2 linked regions of the Saccharomyces cerevisiae S288C genome follow. The protein of the gene in region 1 interacts with the protein of each later gene in a biochemical or structural test. Each region holds a gene or a part of one and is shown on either strand. Other genes may lie near its edges.

Region 1 (8,205 bases):
AATGTTATCTGATCTCGAAGCTAACAAGGGAATTCTAGAGTTATCCAATTTGGAGATAGATTTAGTTATTGATGAATTTAATTGGATGGTAGTCGGTGAAGAGCCGTATATGTCCTGTTTATTTTCGTTGTCCTTAGTTAGTGTGCTAGTGCTATTGATGGTATCCTGGGGGGTTTTAATAAATAATTTTTTATTGTTAGATCTTAGCGGCGTTCTCTGTAAGATGTTGTTGGCATTTTCCAGCCCTATGGATGTTGCATTAGTGGTAATATCCTTTCTTGCCTTCTGAAAATCCACTAACGCGCTGTTAGACGATATCAATGCTTTTGCATAAGGTGTACCGACGTCATTCAGAATTTTTCTTCCATATGGTGTCAACGACAGGGAGGAGAACCTTTTTGATGGAGATGTCGGCAGCGGTTGATTGAACATGAGATTCATGTCAATCTTACTCAGAGGAGTGCGTGAAAATGCGCCGGTGCATGAAGATGAGGGTGTTTTTCCATTACTCTTCAAAAGATTGTTCAAATCGACATTGCTAAAAACATTCTGTTGTTGACCTGGGTTCTCTGTGGTGCTTTGCTGAGCACCGTTAGAATCTGTTACAAATCGAAGTGGTGTCTTTGCCGGAGTTTTGTGAAAGAAATTGAAATTGGTGGACGGAGAGTCCAACAAAAATTCTTTGAATTGCTCTGGGGATGCAACCAAAAATTCGCTGGGTAAAGAGTTGCCGAACTGCAAAACAGAAGAAGGTTGAACGTTGATATCGTCCAAAGTCTCACTTGTATCTGTCCTTGTGACAGCAGGAGGTACAAGTGAACCTAGAGCTTGCTGTTGTTGTTGTTGTTGTTGTTGTTGTTGTTGTTGCTGTTGTATCTGCTGATGATGCGGTAATATACTGTTCTCTACCAACGACGATTCGTTGCTCGAACTGTTGTGAGCGTCTGTATTGGCAAAATGATCTTGAGTCTGTTGATACTGATTAGAAGAATAGGGCGTGGGGAATTGAGTCGTTGTAGGTAACGGACTGTTAAAATTATATTTGAATTCTGACATTACCTTCAAAAAATTTGTATCTGCATTATTGTCCGTAGAGGGCTGTCTTGAGGAAGTTGCAGTTGCCCCAGTTGAGGTATAATTTTGCTGGTAGCTTATATCTCTGTCCATAGTTGGAATCAATGCTCTATTCTGACCAATTTATTCCAATTTGGACACTTTTTCCACCCACAATGCCGATGCCAAATATTCAGAAGATCCTTGCAGCTCCTTAAGGCTCTGTCCTATTTGTTTTGTTTTGTTCTTGTTTTGTTGTTTTTTTTTTTTGCGTCCCGTTTCTTTTCGCGAGGAGGGTTACGCCAAACGCCAAAAGGCTTATGCGGGTAGTGACCTAAACTTGTTTACTGGAATGCTATTAACGATGCACAACAGATAATGAATAAATACAGATGAGTATCTAGGATGCCAGAAGTGTTCAACAATATTCAGGTGAAAAAATTGCCGACTAGGTTGAATAGTAAAAGCATACCGAAATGGATATGGATACGCAGGAGGCAGAACTATCGAGCCAGCTGGAGAATCTTACAATAAATTCACCACGAAAGCTACGCTCGAACGCGCACAGTAACAGTGGTAAAGTGTTTAAGGAATATGAAAGTAACCACGATTTTCAAGATTCAAATTTTACTTCCCAAGTTGTGGAACCTGCAATATCCGATTCTGTCAAAAAACCTCCTACAATGACAGTTTTGAACAACTATAGCACGGTGCATCAGAAAGTGCCGTCAGGTTTTTCAGGCACGACTGCTACATCTCATCAAGAAGCTCAATGGAAGCAGTATTTCCCTGGTATTGGTAGCGGCGGTGGTACCAACTTTGGTGGCGCTGTTGGTACTGCAAACAAAGTTCCTGAATCGGATCTCATTGTGAGCGACTTGGTTAAGGATTTATCTGGAGTTCTTGAAACAAATACATTTAAAAGACATTTAGATATGAAGAATAAAACTACTACTATGCAGACCCATGAAAACCATGATACGATTAGTATTTCACATTCTAAAGATTTCTTTAACGCTGAGAAGGTCTCATCGTCGTTTTCTGATGACAGCGATTCTGGCCCAGCAGCTGAGGCACATGATGTATTTGATGGCATATTACAAAAGCAAAAATCGAATTATTTGGTGGGTTCTTATCCAAGTAATAGCAACAACAAAAACAATAATAATAATAATAATAATAATAATAATAATAGTATTAATATTAATAATAAGGATAACGCTAGAACGAAGGAGGAGGACGAAGAGGACACTTCCAATTCTTTTGAATTTTCATCATCGTCATCCATGTCGTCCTCTCAAACTCAATCAGGCAGAAAATCAAAAGTTCTCAAGAAACCTCCATTGAACACTATTTCACCCGGTCAATTGGGATATCAGTTTAACCATACACACGGCGCATGGGATCCGCCGCTGAACCAGGGCTTAGATGTGTCGAGTTCACATTCTCTGGACAATACATCTTCCAACCAGTCCCAGTTCGCCACAATGGTACCAACTGGAGATAATCACACTAACGGTAAGGCACCTTCAATTCTAGATAAGAAGGCGTATGAATTAACCAGTACCAAACCAGGTGATGTTGGCTACCGCCAAAAGAAAATACAAGAAGAAGAAAATCTAGCAAATAGCGATGACACGCCCCTAGACACACCAAAATTTAATGACCTTTTTACGAAAAATGGCACTAGAGCGAAGGTTAAAGGACAAATGCGTACCTCTCGTTCAATCTCTAATTCCAATCTACTAGAAGCTCACAAGAAACTAAAGACCTTCCCCGCTGAACGGGTTGAAGATATTACGTCCATTTCCGAAGTAAACACCTCGTTCAACGAAACTGAAAAGCAGCTAATATCAATCTTGACTAGTAAACTATCTGGTTCTCCAAGCTATGATTCCGATTGGGAAAAAATCCTGAAAGTTGACCTATCAAGGGGCAAACTGAAGAATATGTTTGGCATGCAAAGACTACTACCGAATGTATTAGTGCTAAACCTTAGTGACAATGAAATGAACACTCTAGAAGGTATACCCTCGAACGTTGTACAGCTATTTTGTTCAAACAACAAAATAACGAGCGCACATTGTTCATTAGCCGGATTCCACGATCTGGAATGCCTCGACTTATCGTACAACCTCTTGAATACAAGTTTAAAATTTTTGTCACTTTGTCATCACCTGCAAGAGGTGAACCTTTCTTACAACTCCATCCAATCCTTAGAAGGGATAGGATCCTCCAGGATGAAAAAACTGAACCTTTCTAACAACGAGATTAATGGTATCATCGATTTCGAACAATTGATACTAACAAACAACTCTGTCGTGGGCGGCTGGTTGACCGTGGAAGTCTTAGATCTAAGCAACAATAACATAATTGGCGTAAGAAACATCAATTGCTTGCCCCGCCTGAAGGTTTTAAACCTCAATGGTAACCCGCTAGTTTCCATCGTGGAATCTTCTAAGATGGAGAACGGAACGTTGAGAGCGCTTTCCATCAAAAATACAGGAGGCGCGCTATCCAAATTACAAAATTACAAGTTGGATGATCAATTCACGTTCCCCTACCAAAATCTAAAGATTCTAAAACTGGACGGCTTCGCTCAACTTAGCAAATGGCAAAAATGGCCTGCCACTTTGCAAATTCTGGAGATCAACGGCGGCCTGGCCTCCTCTTTGCCGCGATTCTCTTCTCTAAAATCCACCAACTTATATTCTCTAACTATAGCTAATGTTAGAGACTTCACACACTTACCAGTGGACCTCTCCAAGGAACTACCGTTCTTGCAAGAGCTACATCTGCCAGGCAACAACCTACAAAACGCACACAAGTTAACAAAAACTCTCCCACGCCAATCAGTAAAATTTCTTGATCTACGAAATAACCCAATCACGACACCACGCCACGATCGCGCCAGCACGAGCTTGCATTACCGGCAGTTGCTCCAGCTTGCTGGCCTCTGCCAGCAGCAATGTCCCGCCCTGGCGACCCTCTGGTTAGATGACACTCCTGCCCCAACTGCCACGAATCTGTAACCCCATAACTATACCCGTACGCAGTACTAAAAATGTATGTAATTAGTAAATGTATGTAACAATTTCACCGTTTTGTGTAACAATTCATTCATTCATTCTTTTGATCCTTTAGTACCGTCCGCACATGATGTCATTTCCCCCTCATTTTTGTTTGCTGGTATGATTCCCCGCCCGGGCGACGGTACGGCTGTTATCCAGCGATGCGGGACTTCCGTCCACAGGTATCTTTTTCTCCAACTCCAACAGAGATGGAAAATGAGGGGCGGGTGTAGGTAAGCAGAATGAGGAGAAATTTGTAATGAAAATGGAAGTTCGGCGGTTATATAAATGGGGGGGGTTTGTCGGTGACAATTGACTTCACTCTCCTTTCCTCAAAAATTCTTGGGTGTTAGGATTAGAAGTATCTGGAAAACCAACCAAGAAAACTACAATAACAAAAATAAATAAAGCATGTTCAGTAGATCTACGCTCTGCTTAAAGACGTCTGCATCCTCCATTGGGAGACTTCAATTGAGATATTTCTCACACCTTCCTATGACAGTGCCTATCAAGCTGCCCAATGGGTTGGAATATGAGCAACCAACGGGGTTGTTCATCAACAACAAGTTTGTTCCTTCTAAACAGAACAAGACCTTCGAAGTCATTAACCCTTCCACGGAAGAAGAAATATGTCATATTTATGAAGGTAGAGAGGACGATGTGGAAGAGGCCGTGCAGGCCGCCGACCGTGCCTTCTCTAATGGGTCTTGGAACGGTATCGACCCTATTGACAGGGGTAAGGCTTTGTACAGGTTAGCCGAATTAATTGAACAGGACAAGGATGTCATTGCTTCCATCGAGACTTTGGATAACGGTAAAGCTATCTCTTCCTCGAGAGGAGATGTTGATTTAGTCATCAACTATTTGAAATCTTCTGCTGGCTTTGCTGATAAAATTGATGGTAGAATGATTGATACTGGTAGAACCCATTTTTCTTACACTAAGAGACAGCCTTTGGGTGTTTGTGGGCAGATTATTCCTTGGAATTTCCCACTGTTGATGTGGGCCTGGAAGATTGCCCCTGCTTTGGTCACCGGTAACACCGTCGTGTTGAAGACTGCCGAATCCACCCCATTGTCCGCTTTGTATGTGTCTAAATACATCCCACAGGCGGGTATTCCACCTGGTGTGATCAACATTGTATCCGGGTTTGGTAAGATTGTGGGTGAGGCCATTACAAACCATCCAAAAATCAAAAAGGTTGCCTTCACAGGGTCCACGGCTACGGGTAGACACATTTACCAGTCCGCAGCCGCAGGCTTGAAAAAAGTGACTTTGGAGCTGGGTGGTAAATCACCAAACATTGTCTTCGCGGACGCCGAGTTGAAAAAAGCCGTGCAAAACATTATCCTTGGTATCTACTACAATTCTGGTGAGGTCTGTTGTGCGGGTTCAAGGGTGTATGTTGAAGAATCTATTTACGACAAATTCATTGAAGAGTTCAAAGCCGCTTCTGAATCCATCAAGGTGGGCGACCCATTCGATGAATCTACTTTCCAAGGTGCACAAACCTCTCAAATGCAACTAAACAAAATCTTGAAATACGTTGACATTGGTAAGAATGAAGGTGCTACTTTGATTACCGGTGGTGAAAGATTAGGTAGCAAGGGTTACTTCATTAAGCCAACTGTCTTTGGTGACGTTAAGGAAGACATGAGAATTGTCAAAGAGGAAATCTTTGGCCCTGTTGTCACTGTAACCAAATTCAAATCTGCCGACGAAGTCATTAACATGGCGAACGATTCTGAATACGGGTTGGCTGCTGGTATTCACACCTCTAATATTAATACCGCCTTAAAAGTGGCTGATAGAGTTAATGCGGGTACGGTCTGGATAAACACTTATAACGATTTCCACCACGCAGTTCCTTTCGGTGGGTTCAATGCATCTGGTTTGGGCAGGGAAATGTCTGTTGATGCTTTACAAAACTACTTGCAAGTTAAAGCGGTCCGTGCCAAATTGGACGAGTAAGGTCATCAATAAGCCTGGTGTCCAATCGATGCTTACATACATAAAATTAAATATTCTGTCTCTGTTATATTTCCACATGTCATCATTTCAAATATATGTACTTTAAAGAAAATAAAATAAAAAATAAAATTTTTTTCTCCCGATAATCAATTTTCTTAATTAATTAATTGCGTTACGATTCCGTTTTTTTACTTCTTTTATCTCATTATCTATCTAAGTTATTTAAAAAAAAGAAAGAACTTTTTATGAACTTTCCTCTTTTCTTTCTTTTAGACTATTTAAAATACATCACCTTGGTCAAACATAGCATCAGAGACCTTGATGAAACTTGCGATATTAGCACCTTTGACCAAAGATGGCAAGACCTTACCGTCCTTAGTGTACTTCTTGGCATAGTCGATACATTCATTGAAACAGTTGATCATAATTCTCTTCAACTCTTGGTCAACTCTTTCGCTAGTCCATGTGATTCTTTGAGAGTTTTGTGCCATTTCTAAACCAGAAACAGCAACACCACCCAAGTTAGCAGCCTTTGGTGGACCGTACCAAACAGCTTCGCTTGGTCCAGTGGCGGTGGAACGAGCAGTTTCAAAGACGGCAATAGCTTCTGGAGTGGAACCCATGTTGGAACCTTCGGCAATAAACTTGACACCTTGAGCAACCAAGGCCTTGGCTTCTTCACCGCTGACTTCATTTTGGGTGGCACATGGCAAAGCAATGTCGACCTTTTGGACGTGGGTCCATGGACGAGCACCAGCAATGTATTGCACTTTGTTTTCGGAGAAAGTAGAGTATTCGTTGACGATTTGTTCCAAGGACTTGAAGTTGACCTTAGCACTGGAAATATCAGCGACTTGTTCGGAGGTGATACCAGTTTCAGAGATGATACAACCCTTGGAGTCAGATAGGGAAACGACAGTACCACCTAGCTCAATAACCTTCAAGGCAGCGTATTGAGCAACGTTACCACTACCAGAGATGGTGACGCGCTTACCTTCGAAAGATTCCTTACCGTTTGTGGCATAGTCGATCATAGCTTGAGTATAGTAAACTAAACCGTAACCAGTGGCTTCTGGTCTGATCAAAGAACCACCCCAGTTCAAACCCTTACCGGTTAAGACACCTTCCCAGGAGTTCTTGTATGATCTGTAAGCACCGAACAGGTAACCAATTTCACGACCACCAACACCGATATCACCAGCTGGCACGTCAGTGTCTTGACCAATGTGTCTGCTCAATTCTCTCATGAAAGCATAACAGATTCTTCTGATTTCGTTATTAGATCTTCCCTTCAAGTCCACACATAGACCACCTTTACCACCACCCATGTCTAGGCCGGTCAAGGAGTTCTTGAAGATTTGTTCGAAACCCAAGAATTTCAAGATAGACAAGTTCACGGAAGGATGGAAACGTAGACCACCCTTGTATGGACCCTTGGCGGAGTTATATTGCACTCTGTAACCTTGAGCAACTTCTTGTTCACCCTTGTCATTTTCCCAGGTGACTCTGAATTGTATGATTCTTTCTGGAACAGAAACAATTGGCAAAACCTTTCTGTATTCTGGGTGTTGTTCGAAAAGAGTAGAGTCTTCCAAAGAGGAGACAACTTCTTCGTAAGCTTGTTGAAATTCTGGCTCTGACATTTCTTTTTCTTTTTGGTCTCCTAACTGTTATATTAGAATAATGCGATAGTACGTATCAAGCAACTTTCAATGCTATAAGAAAAGTCATTTAAAGAGTGAGAGAATATAAAATGGGTAAACGCATTTGTAACTCTCGTATATTTTATATATGAAAAACAGAAAATTTTCCAATCTTCTCTTACTTAGATTACGTATACTTTGCTTTAACAAGAAGCCGGCCTTTGCTGCTACTTCTTACGCTTTCTTCTTCCGCAATTTTTCAGTGCTGATTTTCATTATGGTACCTGATGAAAAAGAAAACGGCGCAGCAGCTGATAACAGCTTCTCTCTGCTGATTGGACGTGGGGTCGTACTATTTCTTTTTTATTGCCCCACCGCACTGAAAATGCATGGGCCGGTTCCGGCGCATTGGTTCTGCGATAAGAATATCGAGGCCATCCAATCAGATGGTCAGATAAGGTTATTAA
Region 2 (16,562 bases), on another chromosome or scaffold:
GTTTTCTTGTGATGCTAAATCAATGTGTATATTGAGAAAACTATGTAGTAAGTTACACAAAGCAACAAAGGATATTATTATATGTGACAGAGAAGAATTGCTGTAGAGATTCATGACAATATGAATGAGACTACTACAAAACAGCCGCTAAAGAAAAGGTCCCTGAGCAGCTATCTTTCAAACGTGAGCACGAGACGGGAGGAGCTGGAAAAGATTTCTAAACAAGAAACATCCGAAGAGGAAGATACTGCCGGCAAGCATGAACAAAGGGAAACACTGTCGGAAGAAGTAAGTGATAAGTTTCCAGAAAATGTTGCATCGTTTCGCTCACAGACTACAAGCGTTCATCAAGCCACCCAAAATAACCTGAATGCAAAGGAATCCGAAGACCTGGCCCATAAGAATGATGCGAGTTCACACGAAGGAGAGGTTAATGGGGACAGCCGTCCGGACGATGTTCCTGAAACGAATGAAAAAATAAGCCAAGCAATACGAGCGAAAATTTCGTCATCATCATCATCACCCAATGTACGTAATGTTGATATCCAAAACCATCAACCTTTTTCGAGAGACCAACTTCGAGCGATGTTGAAAGAACCAAAAAGGAAAACTGTTGATGATTTCATAGAAGAAGAGGGTTTGGGAGCTGTTGAAGAAGAGGATTTAAGTGATGAGGTACTTGAAAAAAATACAACAGAACCAGAAAATGTGGAAAAAGATATAGAGTATAGCGACTCAGATAAGGACACAGACGATGTGGGAAGCGATGATCCCACGGCACCCAACTCACCAATAAAACTTGGTCGTCGCAAACTGGTTAGAGGTGACCAACTTGATGCAACAACAAGTTCCATGTTTAATAACGAATCAGATTCTGAATTATCAGATATCGATGATAGCAAGAATATTGCTTTATCCAGTAGCCTATTTAGAGGCGGTTCTTCACCTGTGAAAGAGACAAACAACAACCTTTCAAATATGAATTCTTCACCAGCACAAAATCCAAAAAGGGGTTCTGTCTCCAGGAGTAATGATAGTAACAAGAGTTCTCATATAGCTGTTTCCAAGCGCCCCAAACAGAAGAAGGGCATATATAGGGATTCTGGTGGTAGAACAAGACTACAGATTGCCTGTGACAAGGGCAAATATGATGTAGTCAAAAAGATGATTGAAGAAGGAGGTTACGATATTAATGACCAAGACAATGCTGGTAATACAGCATTGCATGAAGCGGCGTTGCAAGGTCATATTGAGATTGTGGAACTGTTGATAGAAAATGGTGCAGATGTAAATATCAAGTCTATTGAAATGTTCGGCGATACTCCCTTGATCGATGCTTCCGCCAATGGACACTTGGATGTTGTCAAGTATCTTCTTAAAAACGGTGCGGACCCAACTATACGTAACGCTAAAGGGTTAACTGCGTTTGAATCTGTCGATGATGAATCTGAATTTGATGATGAAGAAGACCAAAAGATTTTGCGTGAAATAAAAAAAAGGTTGAGTATAGCCGCTAAAAAATGGACTAACAGAGCAGGAATTCATAATGACAAATCTAAAAATGGCAATAATGCTCACACAATAGATCAGCCACCTTTTGATAATACCACAAAAGCCAAAAACGAAAAGGCCGCTGACTCACCTTCAATGGCTTCCAATATTGATGAGAAAGCTCCGGAAGAGGAATTCTATTGGACAGATGTTACTTCTAGAGCGGGAAAAGAAAAACTGTTTAAAGCTTCGAAGGAGGGACATTTACCATACGTTGGTACGTATGTAGAAAATGGTGGTAAGATAGACTTAAGGTCATTTTTCGAAAGCGTTAAGTGTGGCCATGAAGATATTACAAGTATCTTTTTGGCATTCGGATTTCCCGTAAATCAAACTTCAAGGGATAATAAAACATCCGCTTTAATGGTAGCTGTAGGTCGTGGCCATCTTGGAACTGTTAAACTGCTATTAGAGGCAGGTGCAGATCCAACCAAAAGAGATAAAAAGGGTCGTACCGCTTTGTACTATGCCAAAAACAGCATAATGGGAATAACAAACAGTGAAGAAATTCAATTGATTGAAAATGCTATAAATAACTATTTGAAGAAGCACTCTGAAGATAATAATGATGATGATGATGATGATGATAATAATAATGAAACATATAAACATGAAAAAAAGAGAGAGAAAACGCAATCACCCATATTAGCAAGCCGAAGAAGTGCCACTCCTAGAATTGAAGACGAAGAGGACGATACGAGGATGCTCAATCTGGCAGACGATGACTTTAATAACGATCGTGATGTCAAGGAATCTACAACTTCGGATTCGCGCAAGAGATTGGATGACAATGAAAATGTTGGTACTCAATACTCATTGGACTGGAAAAAACGTAAAACAAATGCCTTGCAAGATGAAGAAAAATTAAAAAGTATCTCACCACTCTCTATGGAACCTCATTCTCCAAAGAAGGCAAAATCTGTAGAGATAAGTAAAATACATGAAGAAACGGCTGCTGAAAGAGAAGCAAGACTCAAGGAAGAGGAAGAATACAGAAAGAAAAGATTAGAAAAGAAAAGAAAAAAAGAACAGGAACTACTACAAAAGCTGGCCGAAGATGAGAAAAAAAGGATCGAAGAACAGGAGAAGCAGAAAGTCTTAGAAATGGAAAGATTGGAAAAAGCTACTTTAGAGAAAGCAAGAAAAATGGAAAGGGAAAAAGAAATGGAAGAAATCTCTTATAGAAGGGCAGTAAGGGACTTATATCCGTTAGGACTGAAGATTATTAACTTCAACGATAAACTTGATTACAAAAGATTTTTGCCGCTATATTATTTTGTAGACGAAAAAAACGATAAATTTGTGCTCGACTTGCAAGTAATGATATTGTTGAAGGATATCGACTTGCTCTCAAAGGACAACCAACCAACTTCTGAGAAGATTCCCGTCGATCCCTCGCACCTGACTCCATTGTGGAATATGTTGAAATTCATTTTCCTGTATGGAGGTAGTTATGATGATAAAAAGAACAACATGGAAAATAAAAGATATGTTGTAAACTTTGATGGGGTTGATTTGGACACAAAGATTGGGTATGAGCTTTTGGAGTACAAAAAATTTGTTAGTTTGCCCATGGCGTGGATTAAATGGGATAACGTTGTTATTGAAAACCACGCAAAAAGAAAAGAAATTGAAGGAAATATGATTCAAATATCAATAAACGAATTTGCACGATGGAGAAACGATAAGCTGAACAAAGCGCAGCAGCCGACGCGCAAACAGCGTTCTCTAAAAATACCTCGAGAGTTACCGGTTAAATTTCAACACCGTATGAGCATATCCTCCGTCCTCCAGCAGACATCCAAAGAACCATTTTGGTAAAACAATTCATCGGTCCGTTGGCATATGCTCATACATAGTTGCATTTTCGATTCATTAAATACTATTCATGTTAACATAATTCCATATAATCGTACTGTTTTGTCATTATTATATCGGCATGACACTCACCAATTTCTTTTTTTGATTTTGTATTGTTCGATAAGGCAACGAACGAGTACTCGAAAAAATGTCATGGACCCCTTAAAATTACTGAGGGGTTCAGAAAATACCGTGCAAAAGACGAAAAAAGACGAATTTCATTTGATTTATATTTTATAAATGACTGTTGCATTAAACAATAGACCAATTATTTCAATTTAATATTCTTTGCAGGAAACTTTCACAATGGAATAACGCCACATATTCATTGTAAAGAGCATGTATAACAAACACTGATTTTTGTTTTGAGTTTTAAAAGATATCCATTTACTAACATTCGAGGTGTACAAGCACAAGTTTTGCAGTGTTGCGTACTTCTCTTACTAAAGGGGCACGGCTAACTGGGACAAGATTTGTTCAAACAAAGGCCCTTTCGAAGGCAACATTGACAGATCTGCCCGAAAGATGGGAAAATATGCCAAACTTAGAACAGAAAGAGATTGCAGATAATTTGACAGAACGTCAAAAGCTTCCATGGAAAACTCTCAATAACGAGGAAATCAAAGCAGCTTGGTACATATCCTACGGCGAGTGGGGACCTAGAAGACCTGTACACGGAAAAGGCGATGTTGCATTTATAACTAAAGGAGTATTTTTAGGGTTAGGAATCTCATTTGGGCTCTTTGGTTTAGTGAGACTATTAGCCAATCCTGAAACTCCAAAGACTATGAACAGGGAATGGCAGTTGAAATCAGACGAGTATCTGAAGTCAAAAAATGCCAATCCTTGGGGAGGTTATTCTCAAGTTCAATCTAAATAAGTAGACGAGGAAAATAAAATTGTTTCGTATATTCCGTGTTTGGGGTATAAGTAGATTGTTTTCATATATACGCATTTGGTCTTAGTTCAGTAGGTTGATTACTTAGTTCCTTGTACCTTCTTCTGCAAATATCATTCATTGTTACTTCGAAGAAGAAAAAAAATAATCATGGAAAATTGGAAAAAAAAAAAGTCCAATCTAAAAAATAAAAATGTTCAAGTCATCGATTCTATGGGGAGGAAAAGGACAATCAGAACCGAAGTGTTGTGTAGCTAAAATATGTCATTTTCCTTCGGCTTTACTTCCAATGACTTTGATGATGATGAGCTTGTTGCTCAACCTGAAACATTCGTTGAAAGCAGCAAAGAAAACGAAAATACCACTGCTTACATCAATCCATTAGATTCGGATTTCTTGTCGCAAGCTGGAGTTGTGCAGCCAAATGTGGAAGACCTAGGAACAATATTGGAAAGTCTTAAGGATGTTAGATTGACATTTGAAGAGTTCCAATCTCCGATATATAGAAAACCATTGATCAAGAGGGAACTATTCGATGTCAAACATCAGCTAATGTTAGAGACAGATGCCCAATCCAACAACAACTCCACGGAACTGGACATTTTACTAGGTGATACTTCTGAAGATTTGAGAAAGAACATCTATGAAGGTGGGTTGAAATCATGGGAGTGCTCTTATGATTTAGTTGATTTGTTGTCAGAGAACGTTGATAGAATAAGCAACGATATCGACGCGGTTGTCGAAATAGGCTGTGGTACGGCACTACCCTCAGAGTTTCTTTTCAGATCTGCTCTTCTACGGAATGATAGAAGTAAAGGTTTAAAGTTTGTTTTGACTGACTATAATGCCAGTGTATTAAGATTAGTTACCATACCGAATTTGGTTATAACATGGGCTAAAACGGTTTTGACAAAGGAACAATGGTACGCCTTACAGAAAGACGAATGTGAAGATATTCCAATAAATAATGAGGAACTGCTTCTTACCTCAAAGCTGTTAGCTGCCTTTTACGACGATGTACAAAGCAGGAATATCAGCGTCACTCTTATATCAGGATCGTGGGGACGTAAATTTAGTAATTTGATCCATGAAGTACTCTCAGGTAGCCAAAAAGTCCTTTCATTATCCTCAGAAACAATTTATCAACCTGACAATTTGCCCGTTATAGCGGAAACAATACTTGACATACACAATTTACCACAAACCGATGTCAAAACTTACGTAGCCGCAAAGGATATTTATTTTGGAGTCGGTGGTAGCATCACTGAATTTGAAGCTTATTTGGACGACAAAATAAACTCCGAACATCTACCAATTCATTCTGAAAGGTTTAAAGTTAACTCTGGCTTAAAAAGGTCGATTATATGCATTGAAACAAATAAAGCTATCCGATAGTTAGTATAATTTGTTTCAACTTCATTTCCTTAAGTTAATCCATAAGTCTTTTACTGTATCTTTTATTTATAACATGGATGAAAATAGAAAAGAAATATAGAAGTAAAAATTAAAGTAACTGTTCAATATACATAATATAATTGGAAAGCAAAAATGCAACCAACAAAAATATACAGTTTCTTTTTATCATTGATTCCCTTTTAGCCTTATTTGCTAATTCTGGCTTTCATGATTTGTAAGAATTCTCTGTAACTTTCGTTATTCAAAATCTTATCCTCCACTAAGGTGCTAGAAGCCCATAGTCTTAGCGTTGCAACTTCCCTAGCAGATGCATGGTTAACGGGCTCGCTCAAAGAGGCACCCCTAACAATATACAATGATTGGTAAGTGATGACATCATCATGGTTTCTCAATTGGTTGATAATGTTTCTTACTCTTTGATTGAATTCAGAATTTTCAACAACAGGTATTTCCTGTTTGCCAATTGGAATGTCAAAGATATCCTGTGTTCCAAACACATCGAATACTAGCGCTGGTACAGCGTCACCACCCATCCACAAAAACAATTCGTTACCATTATCTATCAAGTATAGACCGTATCTTTCAAACAACGAAGAGGTAGCATTGATTGGTTGAGGCAAAACAATTGTGCCAGTAGCTTCACCATCTTCAGTTTGCACTGGTAACCCAGCCTCATCAGCCATATCATGCAGCGAATAAACATCAGGGTAGATGTTTTTGATTAGATATTTCAAAGGTAATGATTCTAAGTTGTTCAAGGCCGAGGCGCGATGGTCACTTGGGACAATACCAGATCTAAATGCCATATGCTTAGTTAAAGAATGCATTAACAATGGGAACATTCTCAAATTGGCACATAACCTCAATGGGGCCCCCCCTGCAGTGTTGGACACCACTATTTCCTTCTTGTACGTGGCTAAGATATCTTGCACGGATTTGTTGATCAATACTCTTGCATCGTCCAAACTGGAATTCAATGCTTTCTCCACCGCCTTCGAGTTGTAAAACGACGCTATAGCTAATTGGTCAGCAGATGCGTAGACTTCTGCCAACGATTCCGTGGTTGGCATAGCCAATGTTATAATTCTTATTCTACGTTGACTATTATTCAGAGATAAAAGTACCGCTACTTGAACATAACAATAGTCAGCCATAATGGATTCATCAACGTTAACTTCGAATAAGTATGATTGATCTCTTGGCATGGTGGAAAATGCACATAAATCAGATGATCTATTGAAGAAGTGACCATAGAATCTACTCATTCTCAAACCTGTGGAACCACGGGCTCTCATTACGGTTTCCATACAGAAATCCATGGAAATGTGCTTGGCAAACTCAGTGGAAAATTTGACAATATCATTTGGGTTCTTGCCTGAAAAACCAGGATAGAAATGCGTTTGACCAGCAGTGAAACGACTCAAATTCGATAGTGATGCAACGTCCATATAATCTTCAGAAGCCAAAAATAAATCGACAGTAATCTGTACTTTAGAACAATCGATGGTGAAATTCTTATAAAATGAGTCTTGACAGGAAAGTAGTTGTGCAGTTTCCTTGGATGTATTAACAACACCACTTTCATTTCTCCTTTGTAATTTTCCTATGCCTAAGTTGGGCAAAGTACCTGACACAACAATTATTTTACCACCAACGCCACCAATTAAATGATAAGCGGATTTCAAAGCGGGGCCCAGTGCGAAATTTGTGATTAAATTAGATTGGAAGATTTGAGGAATCTTGGTCAATAAAGTTTCAATGTTTTGTCTGCAGGCCTTTAAGGACACAACCATAGAGTTTGGTCTGGGCAAGAAAGGCTCTTCCAGGTCGGCAATATCCATCATGTTGATTTGATCGGCGGACTCTTCATTGTTTTCAGAATCCAATGGGATTTTAAAGTAGTGAATGGCGTTGTCTACACATAAGATGGAAATTCTGGTTCTTTCATCATGGTTTGGAATGGAATCAAGATTTTGCAAAAGGGTGTTGATGGTAGTGGCCAGTAACCCACTCTTGATAGAGGACTGGGAGACATCGATCAGGAAACAGTAAGTGGCTGGAGGTGGTTGTCTTAGAGTATATTCCTTTGGGGCCATATATTCCATCACAGCACATTTGATTTCATTTCTGTCGTATCTACTCTTTGGGTCGTTTGGATCGCTCTGGTCCATTTGCATAGGAACGTCATTGGCCAGACGACAAAAGTTACATCTCCATCTTCTGCCTTGCTCGATAAAAGTGACAAAAGGGTTCATGTAAGAACGACAACGACGACAACGGACAATAAGTCCATCTTCATTCAATGGAGGCGGGTCGATATCGTCGTACAAGTGTTGGTATGGTCTGATAACAAGCCCAAATGGAAGTTTAGACTTCTTCAGCAGGGAGCTGTTCTTAGGAACGGCGTTCAAGGTCGACCTGATATAATCTGGAGACGCATTGGACAATTCAGAAGGAACTAACATCCTTTCTGGAGGAATAACCAACGGTGGGGGAGGCAAGGTCAGATCGGTAATTGGAGGAGGCAATTCCGTCAACAGATCGATTGGATACAACTGGTTCATGGGCCTCATGTTTTGGCCCATTGCGGCGCTAGGTTGGCCATACGCAGGCGCTGCCATTGGTTGTTGCTGTTGCTGCAAAGGTGTGCCCATTTGCACGGGAACCTGTGGCTGCATATAAGCGTTAGGATCGACTAGCGGTACGTTGTGCAGATGCATATCGTTCATGGAAGTGGTGGCCTGATCAATTTGCTGGTGTAACTGTTCTTGAGCAGGGGTTAGGAATTGTTGCTGCCCCATGGAAGGGACTGCACCCTGTGGCGGCATTCCCATCTGACCATAGCTCATTCCAGCTGCAGCAGGATCCTGCGGAGGCATGAATTGTGCTGGCTGTTGTAGAGGGGTGGCATTTTGTCCATACTGGAGCTGAGCTTGTGGGTAAACACGTTTCTTGTGATGAGACATTTTGCAGATGGTCTCAGACTTATATATTTATGTCTGTTTCAATGCGGCAAAAATGGACCTGAGTGCCAGATAAAACCTTTTTGTAGTGCTATTTTTGGCCTGTTTCCTGATGTACCATCCTCCTTACATAGTTTTGTTTTTCTTCGTTTTCGTTCTTCCAGTTTTCATTTTCTTCTGCCGTAAATGGAAAAAACAAGAAAAAAAAAAAGAGAACAGCTAAGCGTTAACAAATCTGCTCCAGTGGCCATGTCCAAGACTGTTTTTCAAGCCCAGATAGTGCCTGAATAGACTGCATTAAGCTGAAAAACTTATAGCAGTGGTTAGTGCAAAATGCACACTTGTCAGTGCTATGTATATTTGTGACACGATTCTATCACCCAAACATAGCACTAATTACTTTTTTGTTACCCGGCATTCTAGGCGGAAATTTGCTGAAATTTTCCATCAATTAATTACGTAACCTATTCTTTTAAGAGCATGATGTTGTATATAAATATAGATCACCTTAGGAACAGTCAGGCTTTCTTAGGTTTCAGAAGTTCATGTGTCTTGGCGCAGTCAATTCTCTCGATCTTTTTTTGGTTTGGACGTTTAAGAGTAGCGGTCGCCGGAAAATAGAGAGAAAAAGGAAATTTAAAAGGAGTTCTTCTTTCTTCTTATTATTAGATCGTATACAGTAAAAAAAAAAAAAGGAAGTAGTAGTTCGAAGAGAAAGAAATAAATGGTAGGCTCGAAGGATATTGATCTATTCAACCTGAGAGAGAACGAGCAAATCGTTTCTCCTTGTCTTATCGTGCACGGAAAATGCAATAAGCAAAATGGTGCGAAGACCGTTCAAGTGCAGCATCCACAATTGCCTCCAATTACTTACCCCATACATAATCAGTTCTTCAAGGCCACTGTGATATTGACTCCTGGTGAGAACAAGTTGACCTTTGTTACAGACACTAACACCGCTAGGACAATCGTATGTTACTACACACCACTGACGCAGAACCCTCCCGTACACCTGTGTCTGATCTTGGCCAAGGATTCGCCTTTACAGTTTGACTCTCCTCGAGAACAGAAGGACAGAGAGGGCGGGAATGGCCTCGAATTGGCAATCAAGAAGCTAAGACTTGGGGCCAGACTCATGCAAGCGTACACGAACGAGCAAATGCTGAGAAACAGTATGGGAAATAGGACGTTTCCCTTTGTTGAAGAATTTACCTGGGACACGCTGTTCGAACGGCCTGCTATGAGAAACACCATCAAAATACATGTAGTTCGTTCGGAAAAGACGGTGAAGGAAATCCAGGACCCTGACATAGCTCAACAGAATTCCAAAGGGAAAAACACCGGCGCCCTTTTTGGGATAGCCATGGACGCCCTTAAAAGTTACGGCGGACCCTTCACCAATAACGAAAAGCCTGTTCAGGCAGCTTGTATGTTTCTAGACACCCACTGGGATGGTAAGTTGATTAGAGGCCACGCCGCATTGGGTGGGGGTGACGACAGCATTAAGCTCGCCATTTTTGGGTCGCACGGGCTTTACTCATGGCCTACTTGTCTCGAGCAATTGGTGCCTTATTTTACTGATGAGACAAGATCCTCCACCAGTGAAGTCGCCAACGACTGTAATGAGTGTGGTACTTACTGGGAATGTTTGACTATCACGTTGGGAGCATTTATGCATGAGATTGGTCACTTACTGGGTTGTCCTCATCAGGAAAGCGGTGTTATGCTAAGAGGCTATACCACTTTGAATAGGTCTTTCTTGACTAAAGAGGCTTATTCTGTAAGAACTAATTCAACTGGTGCTAGTCCTCCCATCTTCCCCAAGGAAGAATGTACCTGGAACCGTCTCGATACGGTAAGATTTTTGTACCACCCCTCTTTCACTTTACCACAGGATTATTACGATCCATCGTTCATGAGACCTACAAAATTGGGCGGATACCCCAATATAAAACACTCTGTATATCCTTTGGGTAACGGCAGTTGCCGCATATTATCGCCCACAGGAATCTATTTGATTGAAATTATATGTGATGATTTGGCCAGGGGCCATATTGAATACTTGCCGGTTTCCCTAGGTGGACAGGGGCCTCAACGGGAAGTTATAGTAACATTAGATGATTTACGTGCCAGGTTGCCCAAGAATGAACTCGCCAAGTTTGGCAATACCTTCAAATTGAAAATTCTTTCTGTTAATGCACCGGAAACCGAGTTCGACAAGTTCCCATCTTTGTTAGATGTTCAGCCATTAGACATGTCGAAATATGGGTTTTCTAAAAATGTTCAAGGTATCAAATCACCACTTTATGGTCGCAGCGACGGTGGTAATGCTGTCGGCGTCGTCGCTTTTGATGTTAGATTAGTCACTGCTGTGAGAATATACCATGGCTATGCATTAGATGGTGTGAGGTTTTATTACAAGGAAAAACCAACTGGAACAAAGGATGCTCCCGCATCCAAGCCCTCTGTACCACCAAGAAATTATTTCTCAAAAATTACACATAGTATCAAAAATCATGCTTCAATAAACGAAGAAAATCTAAAAAGTGTACTCTTTGGACATGAAACACAAAATTTTACGGATGCTACACTAGAACCGGGTGAAATAATCATTGGGTTTAATCTGAGGTGCGGAGCTTGGGTTGATGCTATCCAAATTATAACGAGTCATGGGAGAATGACCGACATGTTTGGTAACAAAGACGGAGGTGGGTTCGCTGAATTGCAGCCACCTAATGGCCAATATATCCTAGGTGTGACTGGCAGAGTCGGTCAATGGGTCGACGCCTTCGGAATTATTTACGGAGCTTTATAGTAATTAGTCAAGGTTTTTTTTTTCTTATTTTTTTCTATTTCATAACTTAGTCATATCAAAATATATCTATTAAATTATTTTCCATATATACGTAGATATTCTTCATTTGCATAATTCTTTGGGAAAAAGGAAAACAGTTATAGAAAAATATAAACAAAAAACCGCAACACTTCATGATTGCGTCGAACAATATACCTTAAAGAAGAAAAAAAAAGGTTGGTTTTATCACTTCATTAGTCTATTTGAATAATTCATAAAATATTTCTGATTTTTTTTTTTTTTTTTTTTTTTCATATTATTTTAAACGTGACTTTGGCTGCGATTCATGGTTTTTGCCCTTATATCTTCGTTGTCATTATTATCAGCATTATTAGGATAATCCTTTCCATGTAATAGAAAACTTTTATTTTTCAACATGGATAACTTTTCGTCCACTTTATCTATTTCAAAAATTTGCCTTGGTGTAGCCGCTGACTTCTTTACATTAGGTACATTAGAAGCCGCTTTATTGTTGTTAGCCAAAAGAGGATTCACGTTGTTTTGATTTGGAACAACCCTGGGACGATGTATCGAAATTGAGGTACCTCCACCATCTAAGATGTTATTAGAAGTATTAGTGGCCATAAGTGGTGCAGATAATGGTATTCTCGAATCACCATTTTCATTCTTGATGTTAAAGTTGCTCCCAATGAGAGTGGTATTATTGCTGCCAGTTTGAGCACTAACGCTATTCTTGGGTTGTTCTGATAATTCACTCTGGGATGAAGATGCAGAAGTAGGATTAGATCTTTTTCTTGACAAAAAGTCACTTGCAAAGCTGCTTCTTGCACTTGGCGGAGCTGTTGGTATAACAGAATATCTTCTTTCATTATAAACAAGGCCAACCTCCTTTACTCTGGTGGTATTCAAGTCCGTTTGTGGGACCTTAGAAAATGAATCCGATGCTTCATCATACTCCCATAATGACCAAGTGATTCCATATGGTTTTGGTTCTAGGCAATATACACAATGTAATGGGACATCCAAATTGGCAATAATACCCATACTCAAGTTCATAAAATAACCCAATAAGGCTCTTGCCACCACCCGGTGTGTAATAATAAGAACGTTATCCTCGATTCTTTCTAGTTCTGTGATAACAGGTCTGAGTCTATTAATAACGTCCATATACGATTCACCGCCAATACCAGGGTATCTGTATCTCAACTTATCTTTCTGTCTTTTTTCGAATTCTTCAGGAAAGTTGTTTTTAATTTCTGGATATGTCATACCATCATAATCACCTGCACTTAACTCATCTAACATTTTCATTTGTTTGATAGGATAATCATCTTCGTTGAAATATTGAGCAGTCCCTATAGTCCTAGCACGCATGCTGGTCCAAACGAAAAAGTCATTATAAATGTTCCCATCTGTATTTTCATTATTCTTTTTTTGTTGCATGAGATTTTGATAAAATATTTCTCTCTGTCTGGCAATGAATTTTGGTAGACTTTTAGCAAATCTTAGACCACGAGGAGTCAAATGGGAATTTCCGCCTATACGGCCACTAACATTATCTTCGCTCTCGCCACTTCTCGTTATCCAAATTTGTCTGTCAGCCAAATTGAAATTTAACAAATAATATACCGTCTGCGAAGCTAAAAACCCTTGAATATTGTATGCGATGACTTTCTTTCCCACATCTATCATTTTGATGTACTGCAAATTTTCGTCATCCTCAATTGGTTCATAGGCTTTCAAGTAGTTTGCCAGGCGACTTTTAAAATCTTTTAAAGAGCTTTCAGGATCTTTACCTTTGTAATCTGGACCAAATAATTTGAGTCTAATATTTTTCTGTACCAGTGCATGATCCGAACAAACAGATTCTAAAAATAAAACCTTCAAATGAGGACTTCTCTTTCTGATTCTAGCCAGAACGTTTTTTCTTCTTTCACGAGAGGTATTTGTAGCATCAAAAATTCCCACAGATCCTGAACCTTCTAATAAATAATCTAGCAATTCATCCAGAGTATCCATGGCCCATTTGTCTCTCAACCTAGTAGAGTCGGCGTTTTTCGGCTCGAAAAACTTTGAATCCTGGTCCTTTAGGCCATGCTCCTTAGCAAACTTCCTTCTAGTGTTACCGACATTAAACACTTTACAATAGTATAAAGAATAATTTAAAAATCTGGATAATTTATTTGTAATAAATGACTTTCCCGTAGCTGGCAGTCCGACCATGACAATCACTAACTTTGATCCACTATCTTCCTTTGATATGAGACCATCTGGAGATGTTTTAGACTTTGTTAAACCAGGAACATCGATGGTGGTAGGTCTTCTTTTATGGTGTCTCGTAGGTGATTTAATGTCTTTCAAATCAATCCGAGTTACCTCATTTGCTCCATCTGAAGGAGGCATGTAGTCAGTAGTATCGTTTGTGGGAATTTTAGCATTTTTTAGTTGCGTTTCGTCGTTAATATGCAATCGATGTAGCGATTTCAAATTAGTAGCGCTATTTTCAGGAGAGTCAGAAGGTGTATTTTCTTCAGTGATTCCAGGAGAGTTCCAATTGCTCGATATAGGAGTATCGCTCAAAGGTCTTTTCTGAAAAAGTGGTAAGTGCTTAGATAATTCATCATGCGGACCCTTTTCAGCATCAATTTTATCATCGGAACTCCGGGATAAAAGATCATAACTGGAGTCTTGACTAGGTGCCACATGGTGTGGAGATTGTGTAGGAGCAAGATCAATATCAGGCGGCACAGGAGATGTTTCAGAGAAGTCTACTGGTTTGAACATGAGCTTTTATTCCTCTTGCCTTTGTTCCCTTGAATAAACCCTTCTTCTACGCCTCTTGTTATTATTTTTACTCTTTTAGCTTATGGCACAAAAGTACACAAATAGATACTAAAAGGCGAAATTTATTTCACTTGATTTACCCGTAACTGAATACTTGAGTTTGTCTATATATATATATGTATACCTTTTATTGTTAAAAAAAGAATATGCCAACAAAATCTATAATAAATAGTCCATGTACTCCACTATAAATTAATTTGCTATTGTCAGTAATGGCGCGATTAAAAATAAATAGGAAAAGAAATCTCTCCTCAAAAAATCTTATGTCCCCTAATTTCCGTATGTTGTGATTTTGGTATTCAGAGATGATCACGTGATATAAACGTGATTATTATTATCGGTCGGGTATCCCACTCGTATAATATGACAAATACGTTCGATCAAAAGAAGGGTAATACTACTTCCCAAAATGGAAATATCAAAACGTTAGAAGAATTACAATTATAGCTTTGGTAACATTACTGATCTAAAAGAGCCTTAGCTCAGCCCGTTTGAGCTGTATAGATATTTTTTTAGTTTATTCGAGAGAAAACCGGTTTTTTTGTTAGTATCTTCAACAAAATTTTCCTAATTCAATAAGGACTTCAATTTCCATGTCTTTTCTACAAAATTTGTATGTTGCTATTTTCTTTTCTACTTCAAGTATTATTGTTCATCTTTTATTAACAAACTGGGTATGAGTTACCTTTTGAAAGCAGTCATATAAGTCCCGGCCAAACAATAAGATCTACTAGAGGTTTCAAGTGGAATACTGCCAATGCAGCTAATAATGCAGGCTCTGTATCGCCTACTAAGGCAACTCCCCATAACAATACTATTAACGGCAATAATAATAATGCCAATACTATTAACAATAGAGCAGATTTTACAAACAATCCAGTAAACGGATATAATGAAAGCGACCATGGAAGGATGTCTCCCGTCCTCACTACGCCAAAGAGGCACGCCCCTCCGCCTGAACAATTACAAAATGTAACGGACTTTAACTATACACCATCGCATCAGAAGCCGTTTCTACAACCGCAAGCAGGTACGACAGTTACAACACATCAAGACATCAAGCAAATTGTGGAGATGACACTGGGGTCTGAGGGAGTCCTTAACCAAGCTGTGAAGTTACCGCGTGGTGAGGATGAGAATGAATGGCTAGCGGTTCATTGCGTGGATTTTTACAATCAGATTAATATGTTATACGGGTCCATCACAGAATTTTGCTCCCCACAAACATGCCCGAGGATGATAGCGACGAACGAATATGAATATCTTTGGGCATTTCAAAAGGGTCAGCCCCCCGTTTCGGTAAGTGCCCCTAAGTATGTGGAATGTTTGATGAGGTGGTGTCAAGACCAATTTGATGACGAATCTCTTTTTCCTTCCAAAGTCACCGGTACCTTCCCGGAGGGATTCATCCAACGAGTAATTCAACCAATTCTAAGGCGATTATTCAGAGTTTATGCGCATATTTACTGTCATCATTTTAATGAAATTCTTGAACTAAATTTACAAACCGTACTAAACACAAGTTTTAGACATTTTTGTCTTTTTGCACAAGAGTTCGAACTACTAAGACCGGCTGATTTTGGTCCGCTGTTAGAATTAGTGATGGAGTTGAGGGATAGGTAGTATTGTATATTTATATAAGTCTGCTTGTAGGTTGTATTCTTCCATGCATGGGACACAAAAACAAAAATACGGAAACATATTAATATAACATATGGATGGAAGGAAATAAAAACATTCTAGTTTACTATACTTGTATTTATGATTTGAAATCGTTTATTGGAGTTTGAATATAAATATTGGGAACTTGATCTTGTAATTCAGAATCATTAGTATCAGGTAATGAAGACATGGATGTATTCGTATTTGTTTGATTGTCCAATTTTGGTGTTACCGTGGACCCCACATAATTACTATTTATATCATCGTTTTCATCATTTTCTACCATTGTGCTATTGGCATTACTCAGCTGATACTTATTAATGCTGGTATGGTTATTGGTTAGCTTGGGTTTCCCATCTGAATTCAAGTTTAATTTTTGTGTTATGAATTTATACTTGTCTTGTATATTCGAAGTAGATGTTAAGATCTTCAAATTATCAAACCAAGACATCATTGATTCATAAGAATCGGCTTTAAAAACCCAATTGTGACCACGACGAATTATGCCGTTTTGCTTAGCATGCAACACAAACTTAGCATCCGAACCAGTCGA

Evidence for each region.
Region 2: the proteins of NUD1 (region 1) and MOB1 form a complex in vitro, tested with the Saccharomyces cerevisiae proteins (one study listed by BioGRID).

The regions. Positions count from the first base shown.
Region 1 is NC_001147.6:1,035,305-1,043,509, forward strand, and holds NUD1 (Nud1p), read left to right. Parts: upstream 1-1,529; coding exon 1,530-4,085; downstream 4,086-8,205. Other genes in the region: NDD1 (Ndd1p), read right to left, coding at 1-1,167; aldehyde dehydrogenase (NADP(+)) ALD4, read left to right, coding at 4,536-6,095; glutamate dehydrogenase (NADP(+)) GDH1, read right to left, coding at 6,374-7,738; YOR376W (uncharacterized protein), read left to right, coding at 7,887-8,205. UniProt on the Saccharomyces cerevisiae protein: Involved in astral microtubule organization by binding SCP72 to the outer plaque in a cell-cycle dependent manner. Required for the mitotic exit by facilitating the binding of TEMP1 to CDC15.
Region 2 is NC_001141.2:151,475-168,036, forward strand, and holds MOB1 (Mob1p), read left to right. Parts: upstream 1-14,940; coding exon 14,941-14,960; intron 14,961-15,045; coding exon 15,046-15,970; downstream 15,971-16,562. Other genes in the region: HOS4 (Hos4p), read left to right, coding at 121-3,372; COX5B (cytochrome c oxidase subunit Vb), read left to right, coding at 3,748-3,748, 3,837-4,291; HPM1 (protein-histidine N-methyltransferase), read left to right, coding at 4,571-5,704; COPII subunit SEC24, read right to left, coding at 5,911-8,691; YIL108W (putative metalloendopeptidase), read left to right, coding at 9,413-11,503; PFK26 (6-phosphofructo-2-kinase), read right to left, coding at 11,804-14,287; SLM1 (phosphatidylinositol 4,5-bisphosphate-binding protein), read right to left, coding at 16,107-16,562; YIL105W-A (uncharacterized protein), read left to right, coding at 16,190-16,330. UniProt on the Saccharomyces cerevisiae protein: Functions as an activator subunit for the DBF2 protein kinase. Binds to DBF2, which is required for the phosphorylation and activation of DBF2 by the upstream kinase CDC15 in late anaphase.